Linked DNA regions of Ovis aries. The protein of the gene in region 3 binds, or shares a complex with, the protein of the main gene of each other region. Links are inferred from orthologs where the notes say so. Each region holds a gene or a part of one and is shown on either strand. Other genes may lie near its edges.

Region 1 (3,514 bases), on a different chromosome or scaffold from region 3:
GAAGATAAGAGCTGTGAAAGAAATAGTAAGGGGCTTAAGAGAGTAAGAGGAGGAAGGACAGAGAAGTATGCTGTTTTATTCTAGGTGGAGAATGAATTCCTCTCTTATAAGTTATCTGAGGAGACATCTGAAGAAAAAAAAGGAATGAAAAAGTAAAAAGAAAACTGAAAAAAGGAATGAGTTTTGAGATTAATCTGAAGTAAGAATTTTCAAGTTATCAAGTGTATAAAGAACTTGTTTAGAGAACATACTTGATACATCCTTGGGAAAACCAAGGAGACTAATGTCCCTGAAGTGAGTGAGCAGAGTGGACAAGGTTCTGACCATGTTAAGTTAAAATGTTTATTAGACATCTTAAATGGAGGTATTGAGTAGAATTGGGCATAAGAGTTCAGAGTTCAAGAGTGAGCATTCAGGACTCGAAATACAAATTTATTAGTAGGTATTATATGGTTGGTTTATTTAAAAATCAGAGGTAGATGATAATGAGATCACACACTTAGGGAAAGAGGTAGTACTGAGACCTGGGATACTCTCATATTTACAAATTAGAGGAACCAGCAAAGTTGATCAATGGGCAGCCTTCCTGGTAGAAGGAGAACTGAGAGATGTGTCCTGGAGGCCAAGAGGACAAGTGTTTTGAGAAGGAGGATGGACCAGTGTGTCAAATGTGACTAAGTTGCATTTAAGCCAATGCGAAGTAATGATCATTAGATTTGCCTGTGTGAAGGTTGTTGATGACTTTGACAGTCAGTTTCACTGGAGTGATGGGAACAAAAGCCTGATTAGAGTAAATCCACCAGAGTGAAGAAATGACATGTATAAGCAGTTACTTTTCATCGTTTTCTTTCAGAGGAATTTTGCAGTTATGCTAACAGAGAAGTGAGTGGAGCCATATCTTGAAGTAGCGACTAGGGGGGTTTTCTTTTTTTGTTTTTTGTTTTGAAGATGATATTATCATAGCATGTTTTTGTGCTGATGAGAATTATCTAGTAGAGAGGAAAATGGTCATGTACAAGAGGGATGTGACGTCTGTAGGAGAGATAGTGATATCGTTAAGTAGATCGGGGGGTTGGATGAAGTACTGAAGTAAAGATCATCAAATTAGAACTTGGACAGTTTGTTATTATAATAGGAGAGGGAAAGCAGTGTAAGTGAATACAGATACAAGTAGGTTGATAATTTTGATCATGGGCAAATGTGAGAGTTATTCTGATTGTTTTTATTTTGTTATTTATTCCAACCTCTCACTCAGTGCAAGAATTCCCAGAGTTTTGTCGCTAATCAACAGTCATGTAGTTTTAGCCAGTTACCTCTTGGATAGCCCTGATTATTGAAAAGTGTTTTAGTGTACCAAACTGAAACTACCTTCCATAGTTTCTTTCCTTGCCTCCCAGTATTGCCCTGTGGATCCACATGCCACTCATCTTCCTCCACCTTAGAGTGGCCTTGAAAATGATGATGATTAGTAGTAACAGAAATGAGACTGGGATCAAAGTCAGAGGACATAAGCTTGTGTAAACAGCACAATCCCAAGCATATCTCTTTATGTTTTAGGACTTTATCTGTGAAATGGGGATGATAATTCTTGCTCTGCCTATTACCCAGAGTTATTGTGGTCATTAAATGAGATAGTGTTTGTGTAAACACTTATGAAATAAAGTTCAGATTGCTTTAAAAGGTTTAGTATGATGTTTTTCTTTATCTTTCCCAGGATATGGCTTCATATTAGAGAACCAAGATGGCAACAGTGAAACAGATTGCTCCTTTACAGACTAGTTCCTTTATATATTCTTTTCCTGCTAGAAGAGATCAGTTTTTAGATGACTGAGATGATGGCACCAGGAATAATAAATTTCCTTCAATAAATGGGCAGGTGTTTAACTCATTAGGCTAAATGTATAGTAAACCATTTAGATTTAAATCAATAATAATAAATCCTTGGATCTGTAACACACTTCATAAGCTTATGAAATGCTTACAATATGTTATCTTGTTTTATTTTACAGACATGTGAGATAGGCACTGTTATCATCCCTGTTTTACAGACGAGGAAGTTAGAAATTCACTGGAAATTTGGCTCTTAAGTCATATTCTCTCCATTATACCAAAGCTGCCTCTTTGTCTTCTGAAGGCAGAAAGCAGCCGACCATATTTCTTCGGGGCCTGTCTGGGAACCAGGAAAGAATCCCAGGTAGAGCCCAGGGCAATTCTGTTTGTATTTCCAGGCCTTGTACCTCATTGCCACAAATGGGACCCCAGAGCTTCAGAACCCAGAGAAGCTGTCAGCTATCTTCCGAGACTTTCTGAACCGCTGTCTTGAGATGGATGTGGAGAAGAGAGGTTCGGCTAAAGAACTGCTGCAGGTAACTGTCCCTATGTAGGGAGGCACCTAATTCAGAGAATCACATAATGAAGGCTTTTTTGCTGCATTTTTGTATGGCTGTTATAGAACTAGGCTTTTCTCCTAGCACGTCCCACACTCCTATTTCCCTCATCTTGTTCATCCCTGGACCTTTGCTGATGTTACTCCCTTGGGCTCTTCCTCAGCCTATTAAAACTCTGTACTTTTCTAGGCTGTATCTTACAGAGTTATTTTCTGAGCTCTTATTGAACTTTGCCTATATCTTCCTTTGGTGCTTGTTATGTTCTGCCTGAATTAGTCTAGCAGAGTTTGAGTCTTGATGAGAAGAAATTTTTTGACATGCAAATCTTATACAAGGTATATTTTACTGGGATAAACTCAAAAGATAGATTTTTAGGAAAGGATATCAGAAGACATTCATTTAGAGGATAGTTAGTGCAACATTTCAAGTCTTCCCAGTTTCTTCATGGAAACCCTTGCAGATGGTGGGAATGATAGTCTGCTTGTTTGTTCATTTATTTCAATTTTTTGGCCATGCCACATGGCATGAGGGACCTTAGTTCCCTGACCAGGGATCAAACCTGTGCCCTCCTGCAGTGGAAGCTTGGAGTCTTAACCATTGGATCACCAGGAAGGTCCCTATAGTCTGCTTGTTTGGAGTGAGATCCTGACAGGCTGTGGGGAACCTGAAGTTGGGGGTTTACCAAGCCTTATATATTCCACCAGCTTAATCCTGAAGTTATAGCATGATTATTTCATATGGTTTCAAAATTTGCTTTTAGTTGACCACATTATCTATATTTAGCATTTATGTTTCAGTTACAATTTCTCATTACTAGTGTTATTTTACTACATTGCCAACTGGTGATTTAATAAGTGTGACATGCAACTTACTGACGATGAGAAATGTGTAGATTTGCACAGTCAGTCAGTATACAAAAGTCATAAAACTTTTGTATTTTGAGGACTAACACAGGGCAGGGCAGGGCAGGATGTACCATACTGCATCAAATTAAAGCTAACTATGAACAATTCTGTCTTCCTTACTGTTAGTAGATCATAACTTCTATGTTATTAATCCTTGGTTTCCTCTTACCTGGGACCTGAATCAAAATAGGTATTCAGTGGGAGAAAACATTTGCAAATGAT
Region 2 (4,263 bases), on a different chromosome or scaffold from region 3:
AAATAATAAGTTTTTAAAAAGCTTACCTTCGATATACAAATAAGGTCCCTTCTATATCGGTCTTCTCCTGTAACAGACAATGAGTCAATTAGTTTTTTCCCCCATAATCTAACCCCAAGTTGTCCCAGTGGAGACGTCATGTTTAAGATTAACTTATTTATTTTAAAATTAATTACTCTGAACAGGTCAAGCTTCTCTCTACAAACTACTGTTACCAGTTTCTTTTGTATCCTTTTTAGTCTATTGATGCATGTTAATTGATATGCAATGTTCTATCCAGCAACATGCCTGTATCTACAGTAACTTTTCTTTTCTTTTTTAAAATTTAAAGGAGAAAAAAATCTAGAATTAGCTTTCATTTTTTAAAACTAAAATGTTTTAGCCAAATTTCTTAATTTTAAAGCCAAAGTCTGTATACAGTCATTACTTCACCTTTAAAGTTTATCAAAGTTAGTAGGAGAAAAAAAAGAAATTTTATCTTACAGGACACTGTTTCATCATTTGGGAGATTCCGGCATATTTTCCTGAGTAGCAAATTTTGTAGTTAGTTAAGAACTACTGTCAAACACAATTAGTTTGTTACTCTTAGACCTTTGTTGAAGAATCATGAGTACTGAAATTCTACTTAGTATAATTTGTATAGGTCTTACAAATAATTTAAAACTTTTTTTTCGCTTAAAGTAAACGTTTTGATTAAAAAAGTACAACTCATCATCTTTCATTTGCTGTGACAAGAGTGTATTTAGGTTTTAAACCGTTAAAATGTTTTGTTTTTTTTTTTAAATTAGTCTACAATTCACAGGCCAGATAGGATCTAAACAGTTTAATGCAGTCAGCAAACTATTAACAAACTTAAATGTTAGTCATATAGAATTGAATTTGGTGGGATGAAAAAAAGAACTTTAAAAGATATTTACCATCTTGATTTCTAACTTAAACATTATCATGGAATTTTTCCTTATGTATTTCTTGCCTTTCAAACTTTATTAATATAATAAATTGGTAATCAATTGCTTCACAATGAAAGAAAATTTACCCAAATAAACAACTGTGTAAAGTTACAAATCACTGCCATGATACAAATGAATAACGGCAGCTTAGTTTTCAATTCAGGTTATTTCAGCTTGTATTTCATTCAGCTTGTATTTAAAGAAGAATGGCACAATTAAAATTCCAAAATATTGGAAGTCTGTGACAAACTAGAAATAAAAGCTTATAGTAATAAGCCCATGCCCCAAATATTCACCATTTGTCTGCAATCCACACTCCAAAAATGTATATGCACAGCAAGAAAAGAAAAATGGTCCAAAACAATTTAAACTAAAGCAATATCTACTAAAACAGTCACACTTAAAAGAAAAAATCTATAATTTTGTTCTGTGTGGCTTGCCATACCTCCTCCTATTCCAGGAGGTGAAGGAAAGACGATACAAAGTAAAGCAAGATGACTCTGAAAACCCTCTGCATCTGATTTAACTGTTTATAAATGCGAAATGATTTTTCACAAAATTAATGATTAAATATAACCCATGTATCTGCATTATGTTGTAAAGAATATATTATGATAATAATCTTTGTTTTGTTAGTACAAGGACTTCAATTCTTATTGAAACGTGAATGTGAATCATTTATTAATTCAATCCAACAAACATTTACAGACTATTTTTAAAATAAAGCCTATATAGCTAAATGAGTTAATCAAGAAGATTCATATTTTTAAGGGAAATGATGTTACGTTTATTTATATTTTATTTAGCCACTTGCGTGGCTTGTTAGATCTTAGTTCTCCGACTAAGGATCGAACTCTTGCCCCCTGCAGTTGAAGCGGGGAGTTCTAACCACTGGATCGCCAGGGAAGTCTCGAAATTCTGACATGTAAACAACAACCGAAGCTTCAAAGCGGCTAACAAATCAGTGAACTAACTGAATGTAACTTTTCGCAACCTCTCTCGTGCAAAAAAAGGCAAAAAGTACTTAAGTCTGATGCGCGTATTCAGAGGTGACATCACCAGCAGCATAGCTGAAAACACGAGGTCTCTTGTCCAAAGGTTTCAAGGTAACAAAATTAACATGCAAGCCCTTTTCCTAAGTGCCTTGAAATCTTTTCCAAACTCTGGAAACACAGTGTAGTTTGATAAATGCGGGACGTATCCCCACCCTCTCGCCTTTCCAAGAACTGAAACTAATTGGAATTCAAGCTTTAAATCCTAATAACCTCTGCGAAGGGGGTTCTGATTTATCTATCTGTTGGGGGGAGAGGAGTGTTTACTTTATAGATTATGTATACATAATTTATCTAACAACTCTCAAAGCTTCAGACAATCTTACAGGCGTCTTTCTGACTCCATCGGTCTCAAATCCTCCAACACACCTGCAAAGAAGGCAGGTCGCCCACATCCTCGAACTGGACCCCTGGGGACTAATCCTTCTTCAACCCTCCCCTCTATCAGCGTTCCCCCCGGATGTTTGGACCTACTTCCCTCTCTCCTCTCACCCAATCCCCAGCGGCGCCGACACCTCTCAGGCGCCGGCCAGGCTCTCCTCCAGTCCCTGGCCTCGCCTCCGCCACCGTGGCCTCCCGCATCGCCCCCTACCCAGGTCGGTCGGCGCGGCCCCTTTAAGAGACGGCGGCCGGGAGAGCGACTTCAGCCACCTGGCTGCACTCACCCACTGGTTGGCCTTGGGGCAGAAGGTGTACAGTGCGACCTGGCCCGTGAGGTCTGCGATGCTGGTGATGTAGGGGTCGTGTTGCTTCAGGGCTGCTAGGCTCATCTCTTGCCCAGCTCGACTCAGCGACTCCATCTTGAATTCTGGAGCCGAGCCCCTCTGGCGGGGCGGAGTCGAGGACAGGAAGGTGCCATGGAGGCAAAGTTCCCCCAGCTGCGTCAGCGCCCTCAATTTCCGCCTCTCCACCGGGCCTCGCGGCCGGGCGGTACTGCAGCTATTATGCTCCGCTGAACCTACGCCCGGGGCACCGGGTTCCGGTGTCGTCAGGTCCCAGTGGACTAAGGTTCGAGGTGGGGTCCGCCGCCGCGTGGCGGAGCAGAAAGGCCTGGGCGCAGGTTCTTCTTTTCCGCGGGCTGAAAGGTACCGGCGCTCTGAACAAGGCTGCTCTGGAGCTTTCTCACCGTTCCTGCCGGATTAGTTTCCCGTGGCCGCAGACTGGAAACCTAGCTGCGTCAAGGCAGGGCTCCAGGGGCGATTTAGAAAACAGAAAAGCGGGGAGAAACGGGGTGGGGGTGGGGTACCTCGGAAAGTACCCCAGATCTCAGATCTATTTGTGTTTTTATAAAGGAAGTTTTTGAAAAAGCCAGACTAGCCTGTCTGTAATTACACAGAAATGTCTTTTATTGTCAACTTATTTTCTTCCTCTGAATCCCACGAAAATCTTTATCCAGTTTTGGAAAGAACCCTTGAAAAGTTGTTTGCCGTGCATCATTTAAAGCTTTAAAACGGTAACTCATCCTTTTAGCAAACATCTGCTTAATATTTTAAGGCATTTTAAAAGAGCCAGTTACTAGCTAAAGAGTAAAACAAGGTGTGGAAGATAAAGGGAGCTCTGCCCCTTCCCCCGCCCCTCCCCCGATTTGTTATAAAAAACCTTTTCTTATACTGAAAAGATAACCGAGAGGTGTCTGTGGCGGCCCAGTGGTTGACTCCACCCTTCCAGTGCACGGGGTGCAGGTTGAATTTTTTTTGACTGAAAAATACTATTGACTCTAATAGTTGTATTGTTTATGATTTTACATCCCGAGGTCGTTATCGGAAAGATACTTAATGTTTTACATTGTTGGCAGAATCACGTTACATGTACAAATGCAGAAAAGGAAACATATTCATTTACTGTTTCTTTAGCAAGTATTTTTGTTAGTAGCTCAGCCGTATCTGACTCTTTGTAATCCCATGGACTATAGCCCACCAGGCTGGTCTGTCCATTGCATTCTCCAGGCAAGAATACTGGAGTGGATTGCCATTCCCTTCTCCATCAGTTCAGTTCAGTCGCTCAGTCGTGTACAATTCTGTGCCCATGAACAGAAGCACGCCAGGCCTTCGTGTCCATCACCAGCTTCGAGAGTTTACCCAAACTCATGTCCATTGAGTCCGTGATGCCATCCAACCATCTCATCCTCTGTCCTCCCCTTCTCCTCCTGCCCTCAGTCTTTTCTAGCATCAGGGTCTTTTCAAATGAGTCAGCTCTTTGCAACAGGTGGCCAAAGTGTTGGAGTTTCAGCTTCAACATCAGTCCTTCCAATGAACACTCAG
Region 3 (4,017 bases):
GGGATTCTCCAGGCAAGAACACTGGGGTGGGTTGCCATTGCCTTCTCCAATGCATGAAAGTGAAAAGTAAAAGCGAGGTCGCTCAGTCGTGTCCGACTCTTCGCGACCCCATGGACTGCAGCCTACCAGGCTCCTCCGCCCATGGGATTTTCCAGGCAAGAGTACTGGAGTGGGGTGCCATCGCCTTCTCCGATTCACGACAGCAGAGCTATTGAAAACTTGAAAACGTAAAGTACCAGGGGCAGACCCGATAAATTCAGCCTGCCACTCCCGCAGAGCCACTGTCACCAATACACCACTCTCCAGTTGAGGCCGCCTGCAGGACCGTAGTTAAAATCCTCGGGCCTAGCGCCACGCGGGCCTCCCCACGCTACCCTCTTGCTCCCGGCGCGCACATGGGACCCGACCGCACGGCGGTGCTAGGCCGGCACCGGCCGGAGGAGGGCGCCGTGGTTACGGGGAACGTGGCGCGTGCCTCCTGGCGCTGGCTAAGACCCGAGTATTCGCAAGAGAGACTTTTTTTGTGCCATCCTATAGTCGCCTGCTCTCCGGGCTTTTGCCTACTCCAGGTTGTCTTGGGTGGGGAGCCCAGTGGGTGACGGAGGAGAACCTTGGCCTCGCGCGGTGCTCCGGGCTGGGCCGTGGTCCGGGAGCCGCGACGCGGTCGGTTTCGTCCGGACTCGAGCTTCCCAGCAGCGCCCTCCCCCGGGGCGGGCCCAGACTTTCGGTGCCGCGACGAGTGGGCGGCAAAAAGCCGGTGGCGGACCGGGCGAGCGGCTTCAAGGAGCGGGGAGACTCGAGCTACCAGGCTGGTGCCGGGGACGAAGCGGCCGCGGCAATCGGAAGAGAACGGGGCCGGGGCAGGAGGAGGAAACAGAGCCGATGAAGGGGAGCTGCCGCCGAGGAAGGAGGCGGATCCCTTCGGCGGCTGCTGCCGCTGTTCCGGGACGCGGTCCAGGGAGTCTGCCCGCCCGCGAGGTGCTGGCCAGGTAGCTCCCCACCCAGAGGGCGCCCTCCCCGGCCCCTCCCAGGGTGCCCGGCACGGAAGGAGCCGGGACCGCGTTCCCGGGTGGCCAGGGCGCACCGCACCCGGAGAGCGGCGCCCTTGAGCCGCACCGCCTAGCAGGTTCGCGAGCCGACTTGTCCGCCGGCCAAGAAAAGGAAGCCCTGTCCCTTCCCGCTCAGCCCGGCTCCCCACCCCTTGTACTCTACACCCTGCAGCGGGCGAGCGGCGCGGCCACGGAGGCGCCGAGGAGGGGCGAGCCGCCGCCGGGCAGCGGCGTCCCTTCGGGGGAGAGGGCGCCGGAGAGGAGGCGGCGGCGCGGCGCGGAAGGCGCAACGCGGGATGGCAGCTGCTTAGCAAGGCGCGCACGGAGCAGCCCCGAACTGTGGCTGGCCAGACGGTGCGGCTGGGCGGGAGACGCCGCCGCGGCAGTCCGGCCGGGAGAGATGAGCGCGGAGGCGGGCGAGGGCATCACTTTCTCCGTGCCGCCCTTCGCCGAGGGCGGCAGCTACCGGAGGGGAGGAGCGGCGACGGCGGCCGAGGGCGAGGAGACCCAGCTGCCACCGCCGCCACCGGGCAGCTTCTGGAACGTGGAAAGTGCCGCCGCTCCCGGCGCCGGGTGTCCCAGTGCCACCGCTGGGAGCAGCGCCACCCGGTGCCGGGGCAACTCTGGGGGCGGAGGCGGCCGACGGACCACGGTGGCCTATGTCATCAACGAGGCGAGCCAGGGGCAGCTGGTGGTGGCCGAGAGCGAGGCCCTGCAGTGCCTGCGGGAGGCGTGCGAGACGGTGGGCGCCGCCCTGGAGACCCTGCATTTTGGGAAACTGGACTTTGGAGAAACTGCGGTGCTGGACCGATTTTACAATGCAGGTGCGTGCGACTTTACAATGCAGGGCCCCAGCCTCCGCGGTCGGGGGCCACCGCAGGGGGAAAGCTGTTGTTTCCCACCCCCACCCCCCTGCTCCCGTAGAAAAAATCGATCAGTTTCTGGGCAGCAATCGAGCATCTTACTTATTTACTTCTTGCCCCACCTTAGGGGCAGTGAGCGGCGCTGCGTGACTGCTCGGCTCGCTCGCAGCTTGTGGCAGAGAATCTGACCCCCCGGCCGCCGGCCCGCTCTGGGAATCCAGGGGTGCGTGTGGTCCTCTTGAAGAACTTCTGTTCGCCTGCAGTGCGAGTTACTTGTCCCAGTCAGCCCTGCCCTATTCAGTGTTTTGGTTTCTCTTCTGTTAGATTTGGCCCACATTTTCCTTCTATATATACCTGTGCCTGTTTTAGAAGATGTCCTCATTTTTTTCCGTGTACTTTTGAGAGTACAAAAATTCTGACTTCTGCCACGCAGCCAGCTGCACGCAGAGTGGATCTGTGTGAATTTGCATGTTATGTCACGATCTTCCCAACTCCCTTTCCCTGAAGTTTAGTGGCTTGATTTCCCATCTCTTACCAATTTGAATTGTCAAGTAATTACTTTGAAAAGCAACTTTTGTAACTTGACACTAAACTTGCGAGATATCTCTGTTGGAATTTTGGTGAAAAAGAGCAGAGTATGTTTTTTATGACTCCATATACCCCGATGGGCTGGCAAGTAGATAATTTAACATTATGTAAAACGCTGATATGCAGTTTTAGTAACTAAGTTAGGTTGGCCATTAAAGTGTGCCCATTAAAGTGACTGCTAGAGTAATTCACGAAAAAAAATCTTTTCAGCCTATTACAGATTTCAGAAAGTGTCACTGCGATTCAAGTGACTGAAGCAATTTGCTATCTGCTAGCAAATGTTAGAGATAAAAGCATGTTACTGAAATTAACCTTTAGCACCCTGTACAACCAATGTTGAGAATATATACATTTTTTTTAATAAGTGTGGGCATAAAATTTGATTTAATGGTGCTTTCAGACAATAAGTTTCTTGCATTGTGATCACATAGAAGGTTTTATATTCCAATCTTGTTTCCAGTTCTGATTCTCTTCAGTCTTTTCAGAACACCTGAAGAAGGCTTATGTCAGTCTTGGAATTCAGCCAAAACTGAATATTTTAAGAACAAGAACTTCATGTTAAGGAAGCCAGATTAAATAAACTAGGATTTTCTGGTTCTGGTGTATTTTACCATCTTAGTCTTCATAACTGGACATGGGTAGAACATAGTTTAGCTCGGTTCTTTGTGTGACTTGCTGTAAAAATTACATAAATATAACATTTCTAAAAATTACAGCATTTTTATTTTTGAATTATAATTTGGAAAAAGCTTCAAAGAACTGAAAGATATATGAGGAAAACACCCAATGAAATGCTAAACCTATTTTTATTGTTTTGATAGATTGGGTATTTTTTTTATAAAATAATCTTTAAGCTAATTTGAAAGACTTTCCTAACAAGGTTCATGTAATGTTTATTCTCCAAATACTATCTCTGGGAAAGGGAGAGAGAAAGATTAGAAGGTACCAGACATTTGAAATGTATCTCATTTAATACTCCAAACAAGCCTATGAGGGAAGTAGTACTTAGCTATCTTCTTAGATGAGAAAACCAAGGGCTCCATCACTGGTTCAAGGTCATGGATAATAACTGGTCAATGGAGGGTCCCACTTTGAGTGCCTGACTCTAAAAGGTCCGGCTTCACCCTTGCTACGTCCATTTAGCTGGACTGATTTATTCTCAGAATTAAGAGAGGGAAACGTCAAACTCATGGTAGAGAGCTGGCAGGGACCCTGTGAGCCATTGTGTGCTTTGTGGAATAGTGGGGAGGAGGGCACATTTTAGGGAGACCAGTGTTTCCGGGCCAGCTCTGTCCCATCCCACTGGTGAGCTCAACTAGGCAGGCCCCAGTTTCACCCCTGCCTGTGACATGAACCCTCAGGTCTCTCATTCAGCAAGAAAACGTTGAAGATGTGGCAGAATGAAAATGGTATCGGTTTTGTTTTCTAAACTGAGGGAGGCCAAGGTGAACAGTAGTAGAACTCGACTTCTGATTTCTAAGAGAGCACTTGCTTGTCCTCTGTAAAGGGCCAGATGG
Region 4 (3,514 bases), on a different chromosome or scaffold from region 3:
GTGAGGCAGGAACCTGTCTGGAACAGGCAACCAGGAGGCCCGCATGGCTGAAGTGGGACAAGTGAGGGGGAGAGAGGTCAGAAAGAAGGTCAGAGGGGACACCAGAGGCCAATCCTGGAGGCCATGTAGATTACTGGGATGACCTTGACCTTCACTGTTTTTGAGCTGGGAGCCATTATAGTACTCAAGTTACATTTTAAAAGAATCATTTTAAAAGTACCTTCTCAATCATTTTAATAGTGCTCAAGGTACATTTTAAAAGTACCCTCTGGCTATTGAGTTTAAACTACACTATAGGAGTGACAAGGACAGGGGCAGGGATGCCAGTTAAGAAGCTATTGCAGTAAACTAGGTGGGAAGTGGTCCATACTCTTCCAGTCCTAGGCTTTCCCTGAGAGGCAGGCCTCCTGACCCCAGTTAGGCAGACCTATTCTTGACAGCTGGAAAAGAGTTTCTAAGGGTTAGGTTCCCCAGGTGCTCAAACAAGAGCCAGAGCTTGCCAAGTGTATCCTTAACTGAGTTGTAAACCAAAGAGAGTTTAGGAAAAACTCCAAGAGAAGGGGTCCAAGACCAGGACAAACTTAGGGTGGTTGGTTCACAAGGGAGGAGCCAGACTATATGCTACAAGGCATCTCAGTAAGGGACACTATAAGGAGTGTGGCGTGCTGTCTGTTGGCTACTACATCCCCTCAACAATTCTTGGGATTCCCAGGCCAGGCCAGGAAGCAAGGGCTGTTCCTTTTACTTTTCTGATGAAGGCATTGAATCAGTGAACAAAGTTACAGTGAATCTGTCAAATTATTTAGAGAGTCTAACAATCAGATTATACACATTGAAAGATGTAAAAGGGGTAAAAATCGGCTGTGAAAATCATCAAAACCAAGGAAACTCCAGGCAAAACCCATGAAAATACTTCAGGGCTCAACAGAAACTCCTCGATTCCCAGTACTAAAAGATACTAAGACATTTACACACACACACACATAATTATAAATCTGTTAGTAAATACTTATTCCACTAAAGGAAATGCTCTACCTTCACCTGACACACAACACAGAAAAGTGTGAAGCTAAATTTCAGCTCAAATACTTTAGGGAAAAGCTCCTAACAGTGGTTATCTGGAGGAAGAGATAAGAGGGGAACTTTTATTGTCTCCATTATCTATTTTGATAAGTTTTAACTTATAGTGAGCCTATAATCTTATTAAATAATAGTATTAATTTTGAGGTATTAAAAAAGCAAAAAAGACATCAACCAAAGGAAAAAATATACCAAGGAGCTAACTACTCAAAAGGAGCCCCTGGGTAAATAGTTTTGAAGCAGGAAGAGCAATAATAATGTGAATAACTGAACCTTATTTTATCTGTATTATGACACATTTTTATAATGCCAAGGATTTTTGTTGGTTTTGTAATATAAGCAAGATTTAGTTTCTTGAAGAATAAAAGGCAAGAGAGTTACCTAAGAAAGTTCTAGAATGATTACTGATGAGCGATTAGATTGCATTCCTCTGGGTATCATCATGAAAAAGGGTAAACGGTTAGCAGTGTGCAATGACTTTAAGGGCAATCTTATTCAGAATCAAAGTGGCCAGACAGCTTCCTGCAGCCTTGTGATTGTTATTTCTCCTACATATCTCTGAGACATTTAGACTTAAGTTTGCTCAAAGAGCTTAGGGATAAAAAAAGGAAGCGAGCACATGGCCTCTCTTATTATTGTATTCTGCCATCAGTGATTCTTGGAGTAGCAGGAAGGACTTTGTAGATGGGCTACAGGGGCTAGAATTAGTAGCAGAAAGGGACATAGTTAAGGTGGAACAGTTGTCTAAGCTTTGAATTCTTTTGCTTTTTTAGTTTCTTGCCGCCTTGATGTAATCTAAATACAACTTGGCTTCAAAATATCTAATCACAGATTTTTTTTACCCCAGTTCTGTTCTAGTCTTTTTCACATATACCAGTACAAACAATTCTGTGAACCAATGAAAACTGCAAGATTTTCTGTCCAAAGACCAAAAAAAGCTTTGAGAGTCAAAAAAGCTTTGAAAAGATTGACTTACCACTGGATTTAATTTCTCGGACATAATTACTAGGGAACCAGCCTGTTCTCCCATTTAATGTGCCTTCCCACCAGCCTCCTTCTTCAACTCTAGTGACATAAATGATGTCCCCTTTACAGACAGACAGCTCGTCTTCATTAGTCTGCTTAAAGTTGAATCTCGCCTTTACTATCAACTGGTGACTTCCATTTTCCGTCATCTCCTGGAGAAATAAAAGTCACACCAGATTAGGTACTTATGTCAACGAGGCTGGGGCAGAAATTCTATGAATTTAGGCAAATAAAGTAGGGTGACCAAGGATAAAACCCCAGGTCTATCTCAGTCTTGAATCTTTAACTTAGGAATGGGCCTAATGTAGGTAGGCCTTTCGGGGACACAGGCAGTGAGAAGAAGGGGATTAATAAAGCCCTCAAAATTGTAGGCAAACTTTTGCATTTGTGAGAATGTGTATTTTGGAGGGGGTCATGCCTTCATCTCCTTGTCCCCCACCAGTAGATACTACTTTTATTTTTTTGGCCACATCACTCAGCTTGTGGGGATCTTAGTTTCCCTACCAAGAATCAAACCCAGGCTCCCCTCAATGGAAGCATGGAGTCCTCATCACTGGACTGCCAGGGAATTCCTGAAAGATACTTATTTAAATGAGCTAGGAAACAAAGTAGATTAATAAACTATCCCACTCTGCCTGTACCCAACACTCAGACAAAGTCTTACATAATTACATGACCATGATTAGGTACTAACCTCATCTCATAAAATCTGCCTCCCACCTCCCAATTACTAAGAATATCTTAAATTGGCTAAGGCTTAGTCATATGCAAAGATCAAATATCCCATAGTTACCCAAGTCAGGAGCTCTTAACCTGTCACAGGTCCCTGAGAAGATGATGGCACAATGTGCCTTTACCCAAAACAGAGACTAGAAAGTTCAGGGAGAAGATTTTGCATACAATTGGAGAGGGCCCAAGAGGTATGGAACCATACAGTGTTCATCAGCTTCTGAAAGGGATCTCTGATCTCAAAAGGTTAAGTGCTTTGGAAGTAATTAAAGTACTTTGGAACTAATAGCTCCTGATGGCTTAAAGCAAGTGGGTGGATTTTGACAAGGAATAAAGGTCTCAAAAGAGCAGAAGCTAGGGTGCTTCCTTCCAAAAGAAAGCTCCCATTAAGACCAAATGCAATGATAACTGAGCCATCCCAATACAGGAGCTCAATAGGAATGCAAAGAGAAAAAGAAAATGGCAGTGATGATGATGAGAGCAAGTAATATATATTGATTTCCTGCACTGTGCCAGGCACTATTTAGTTCTCTAATAAGCCGGGGGCGGGGGCGGGAGCGAGGGGTGGGGGCTGGTGACGGGGAAATAACAGCAAACTTCCCTCAGGAAGTTGGACTAACAACTGACATTTGCATAGGGTTCTCAGTTGCTCAATTCTAGAAAGGGATGGGCTTCCCTG
Region 5 (3,514 bases), on a different chromosome or scaffold from region 3:
GTATCTTTTGTCGAGGAACAGTTACTGGTCCCAATCAGCACTAGTCACAGTCACTTTTTTGTGTGTATATGAGCTAGTATTTCCTGGGCCTGAACTAGAGTCTCCAGAAGTAGAGCTCCAGAGTGTGTTTTCAGGAGGAGTTCAGGTGACTCCGCGAGGCGAAGAGGCTGGGAGCCCCGGGAAACTAGAGAGATGCTGAGGCCCAGCTCCCACTCTGCACATCCAGTGCTGGGACGAGTGCCTCGTCAATACACAATGGAGGGGGAGGGAGAATGTTCTCAAGTGTTGACGTCAAGACAAGGACCTTCATGTTTACAGTGAGCTACCTGTACTTGGGGTCAAACACTCCCCTCGTCCAGCAGGACCGTCTTGGACTGGCTCACGAGGCTGAGGCTGGAGCAGCAGAGCCGGGCACTGTCTGGCTCTGAGACGGTGGGGACGTCAGTGGCAGGCTGTTAGCAGGCAAGGGCGTTGAGATCAAGGACCTGGGGATGTGGTGTGAGGGACTAAAGGCCCAGGAGGAGGCCGGAGATGCAGAGACCTTGACGCCCCTTCCCCCCGGGTCCCTCTACGTCTTGAGGAGGGGCTGTCCCTACAACCTGCCAAGTGAGGCAAAGTAAGAGTTCAAGTGGGGACACACGTCAGTTGAGAGGTCAGGAGAGCTGACCTGGGCATGTGAAGGGCGACCCAGGCCCAGGGCTGGTCCGGGTTTCTCCCAACTCCACCTACTTCCCCCGTCCACTTCTTCTCGGCCCCCAAGAGCCGTGGCCTCGAGTGGCCACAACCTACCCTGTCCTGTCCCATCACCCCGGACTGGCACTTCCTCTCCATCCCAGACTAAGCCAACTCCTTTCTAAGCCCACATTGAAGCCCCAGGTTCCTGCTGCCTCCAGCCCACTCAGAGCCTGTTCAGCTCCCCCCGAGCCTGCCTTTCAAAGCCCACCTGGTTTTGTGCCTCCTTCCAAGGAGCTGGCTTTTCCTGGGAAGGGGCCAGAGAGAGGCTAGGAGCCTGGGGTGGAGGGTCGGGGACATGGCCTACAGCGGCAGGTGCAGGCCCTCCCTGCCTGAGTCACGCCGTGAGGATCCTCCTCTGATACCTTGTGTTTTTTTTTTTTTTTGCCGGAAGCCCCAACCCCCGCCTGCCAGTCAGACAAGGGGTGGCAGTAGGAGGCTGCAGGTGGAGGCTTCTCTCAGCACAGGCCCCCACTTTGGTGAGCAGCCTGACTAGGGACGGGAGGGAAGAGGCAGAGGGAGCCCCCCGTGGCTTTGAAGTCATCGTTCCTGGTGCAGGACCCTCGGGTAGCAGAGAGCCACTGAGTTGTGGGTTTGGATTTAGCGCAGGGGAATTTTCCGGAACACCCCAGGCCCCAGAACCTACTGTCTCAAGATGCCGCGCTGATCAGGAAAAGGGCCGCTGCTAGGCAGCCTGGCCTGGTGCTGGGAGCTCGGGCCCCTAGTGCCGCAGTTCCGTGTAGGAGCAGCCGTCCGCCCCGCGCCTTGGTGGTGGCCTCTGCCAGGCTCGGTGGCTGTGGTTTGGTTTCGCAGCTGCGCCCCGGACTCTCCCCTTCTTGCCGCCCCATCCCCTCCTCTCCCCTCCCCTCCCTGCCTCCCCTCTCTTCCCCCCTCCCCCATCCCTGGCTCAGGCCACAGGGCGGCAGGTTGGCAGGGCTCTCAGTTGGTCGGGACCCCGCCTGGGCTGCATTCACAGTTCTTCTCTTCCCCCTTCTTTCCCTGTGTGTGCTTGTCTCCCTGCAGTCTGATAGATTTCACCCGGTTACCGTCTCCAACCCCCGAAAACAAGGACTTGTTTTTTGTCACAAGGTCCTCCGGGGTCCAGCCCTCACCTGCCCGCAGCTCGAGTTACTCGGAAGCCAACGAGCCCGATCTTCAGATGGCCAACGGCGGCAAGAGTCTGTCCATGGTGGACCTCCAAGACACCCGCGTGCTGGATGGGGAGGCAGGCTCCCCAGCAGGCCCCGACACCCTCGCCGCCGATGGCCAAGCGCCCGCGACTCAGCTGGTGGCTGGGTGGCCAGCCCGGGCGGCCCCCGTGAGCCTGGCAGGGCTGGCCACAGTGCGGCGGGCAGGCCAGACGCCCACCACGCCGGGCACGTCGGAGGGCGCGCCGGGTCGGCCCCAGCTCCTGGCACCGCTGTCCTTCCAGAATCCCGTGTACCAGATGGCGGCCGGCCTGCCACTGTCTCCCCGCGGCCTCGGCGACTCGGGCTCCGAGGGCCACAGCTCCCTGAGCTCCCACAGCAACAGCGAAGAGCTGGCAGCTGCCGCCAAGCTGGGCAGCTTCAGCAGCAGCGGCGCCGCAGCCGCCCCCGAAGACCTGGGCCGGCGCCCCGGGGAGCTGGCACGGCGGCAGGTGTCGCTGACCGAGAAGGGTGGGCAGCCCACGGTGCCACGGCAGAACAGTGCCGGCCCCCAGCGGAGGATCGATCAGCCGCCGCCACCACCCCCGCCGCCACCCCCCGCGCCCCGAGGCCGGACGCCGCCCACCCTGCTGAGCACCCTGCAGTACCCACGGCCGTCGAGTGGAACGCTGGCCTCGGCCTCGCCCGACTGGGCTGGGCCCGGAGCGCGGCTGCGGCAACAGTCCTCGTCCTCCAAGGGCGACAGCCCCGAGCTGAAGCCTCGCGCCGTGCACAAGCAGGTCAGTGCTGCCAGGCGGAGAGGGCAGGCCACCACCCCCCGCCCCAGGGTGGGGTCCGGCTAACCCCCCACGTCGTGCTGCTCCTCCCGGCCACGTCATCTCCACCCGCACCCAGCTGCCATCCCATGCTGAATGATGCCACACTTGGCCCCATCCCACCAGCTACTTGCCGTGACAGCCCCCCAGTGGCCCTGGCCTAAATCCTGTGAACCAGCTTCACTGTGGCTTGGGGTTCCTCTGCCAGTTTCCCCAGAGACAGCTGGGGTCAGGAAGAAAGAGGAAGGGATCTGTCTGCCCATCTCCAGTTCCAAAGCCTGTTAAAGCCCAACCCAGGGTAGGAGTCCACCTAGCCGCTCGTCCCCCTCCTGCTCTGAGCTGGTCTTCAGGGCTCTGCACAGAGTTATAGGTTCTTCGGGTTAGACACCAACCTGCCAGCCCAAGCCCACTGGCTCTCTCCCAGGCGGCAGAGAAGCCATGTTCAGCTAGGCTCCCCTCCCACCCCCGGCTCGTGACAGCCTCAGGCTGCGTCTAGGAGGTGAAACTCCCCAGGGCCTGGGGCTGCATCAGAGATGCCCGTCCGTCCCTGTGCCGCACCCGGGACCACCCCTTCCCCCCCGCCCCAGTCCCTCACAGTTGTGTTTCATCGCAGGGCCCTTCACCCGTGAGCCCCAATGCCCTGGACCGCACGGCTGCCTGGCTCTTGACCATGAATGCACAGTTGTTAGAAGACGAGGGCCTGGGCCCAGACCCCCCGCACAGGGATAGGCTAAGGAGTAAGGAGGAACTCAGCCAAGCGGAAAAGGTAAAAACCAGACCCTGGCCACTCGGACAGGGTGAGCTGCCTCCCCAAGGCAG

What was found.
Region 1: MAP3K5 (region 3) and PAK1 share a complex: the UniProt entries of both Homo sapiens proteins name them as parts of the cytoplasmic complex. The link is inferred for Ovis aries from reciprocal best matches to the Homo sapiens genes MAP3K5 and PAK1.
Region 2: MAP3K5 (region 3) and DCP1A share a complex: the UniProt entries of both Homo sapiens proteins name them as parts of the cytoplasmic complex. The link is inferred for Ovis aries from reciprocal best matches to the Homo sapiens genes MAP3K5 and DCP1A.
Region 4: MAP3K5 (region 3) and ARHGEF6 share a complex: the UniProt entries of both Homo sapiens proteins name them as parts of the cytoplasmic complex. The link is inferred for Ovis aries from reciprocal best matches to the Homo sapiens genes MAP3K5 and ARHGEF6.
Region 5: MAP3K5 (region 3) and DAB2IP share a complex: the UniProt entries of both Homo sapiens proteins name them as parts of the cytoplasmic complex. The link is inferred for Ovis aries from reciprocal best matches to the Homo sapiens genes MAP3K5 and DAB2IP.

Annotation. Positions count from the first base shown.
Region 1 is NC_056074.1:16,260,094-16,263,607, forward strand, and holds part of PAK1 (serine/threonine-protein kinase PAK 1), read left to right. Parts: intron 1-2,228; coding exon 2,229-2,366; intron 2,367-3,514. UniProt on the Homo sapiens protein: Protein kinase involved in intracellular signaling pathways downstream of integrins and receptor-type kinases that plays an important role in cytoskeleton dynamics, in cell adhesion, migration, proliferation, apoptosis, mitosis, and in vesicle-mediated transport processes.
Region 2 is NC_056072.1:47,749,053-47,753,315, reverse strand, and holds the start of DCP1A (mRNA-decapping enzyme 1A), read right to left. Parts: upstream 2,813-4,263; 5' UTR 2,803-2,812; coding exon 2,668-2,802; intron 68-2,667; coding exon 27-67; intron 1-26. UniProt on the Homo sapiens protein: Necessary for the degradation of mRNAs, both in normal mRNA turnover and in nonsense-mediated mRNA decay. Removes the 7-methyl guanine cap structure from mRNA molecules, yielding a 5'-phosphorylated mRNA fragment and 7m-GDP.
Region 3 is NC_056061.1:62,061,510-62,065,526, reverse strand, and holds the start of MAP3K5 (mitogen-activated protein kinase kinase kinase 5), read left to right. Parts: upstream 1-1,203; 5' UTR 1,204-1,449; coding exon 1,450-1,873; exon of another isoform or gene 1,874-4,017. UniProt on the Homo sapiens protein: Serine/threonine kinase which acts as an essential component of the MAP kinase signal transduction pathway. Plays an important role in the cascades of cellular responses evoked by changes in the environment.
Region 4 is NC_056080.1:98,465,065-98,468,578, reverse strand, and holds part of ARHGEF6 (rho guanine nucleotide exchange factor 6), read right to left. Parts: intron 2,259-3,514; coding exon 2,057-2,258; intron 1-2,056. UniProt on the Homo sapiens protein: Acts as a RAC1 guanine nucleotide exchange factor (GEF).
Region 5 is NC_056056.1:14,099,381-14,102,894, reverse strand, and holds part of DAB2IP (disabled homolog 2-interacting protein), read left to right. Parts: intron 1-1,755; coding exon 1,756-2,659; intron 2,660-3,308; coding exon 3,309-3,461; intron 3,462-3,514. UniProt on the Homo sapiens protein: Functions as a scaffold protein implicated in the regulation of a large spectrum of both general and specialized signaling pathways.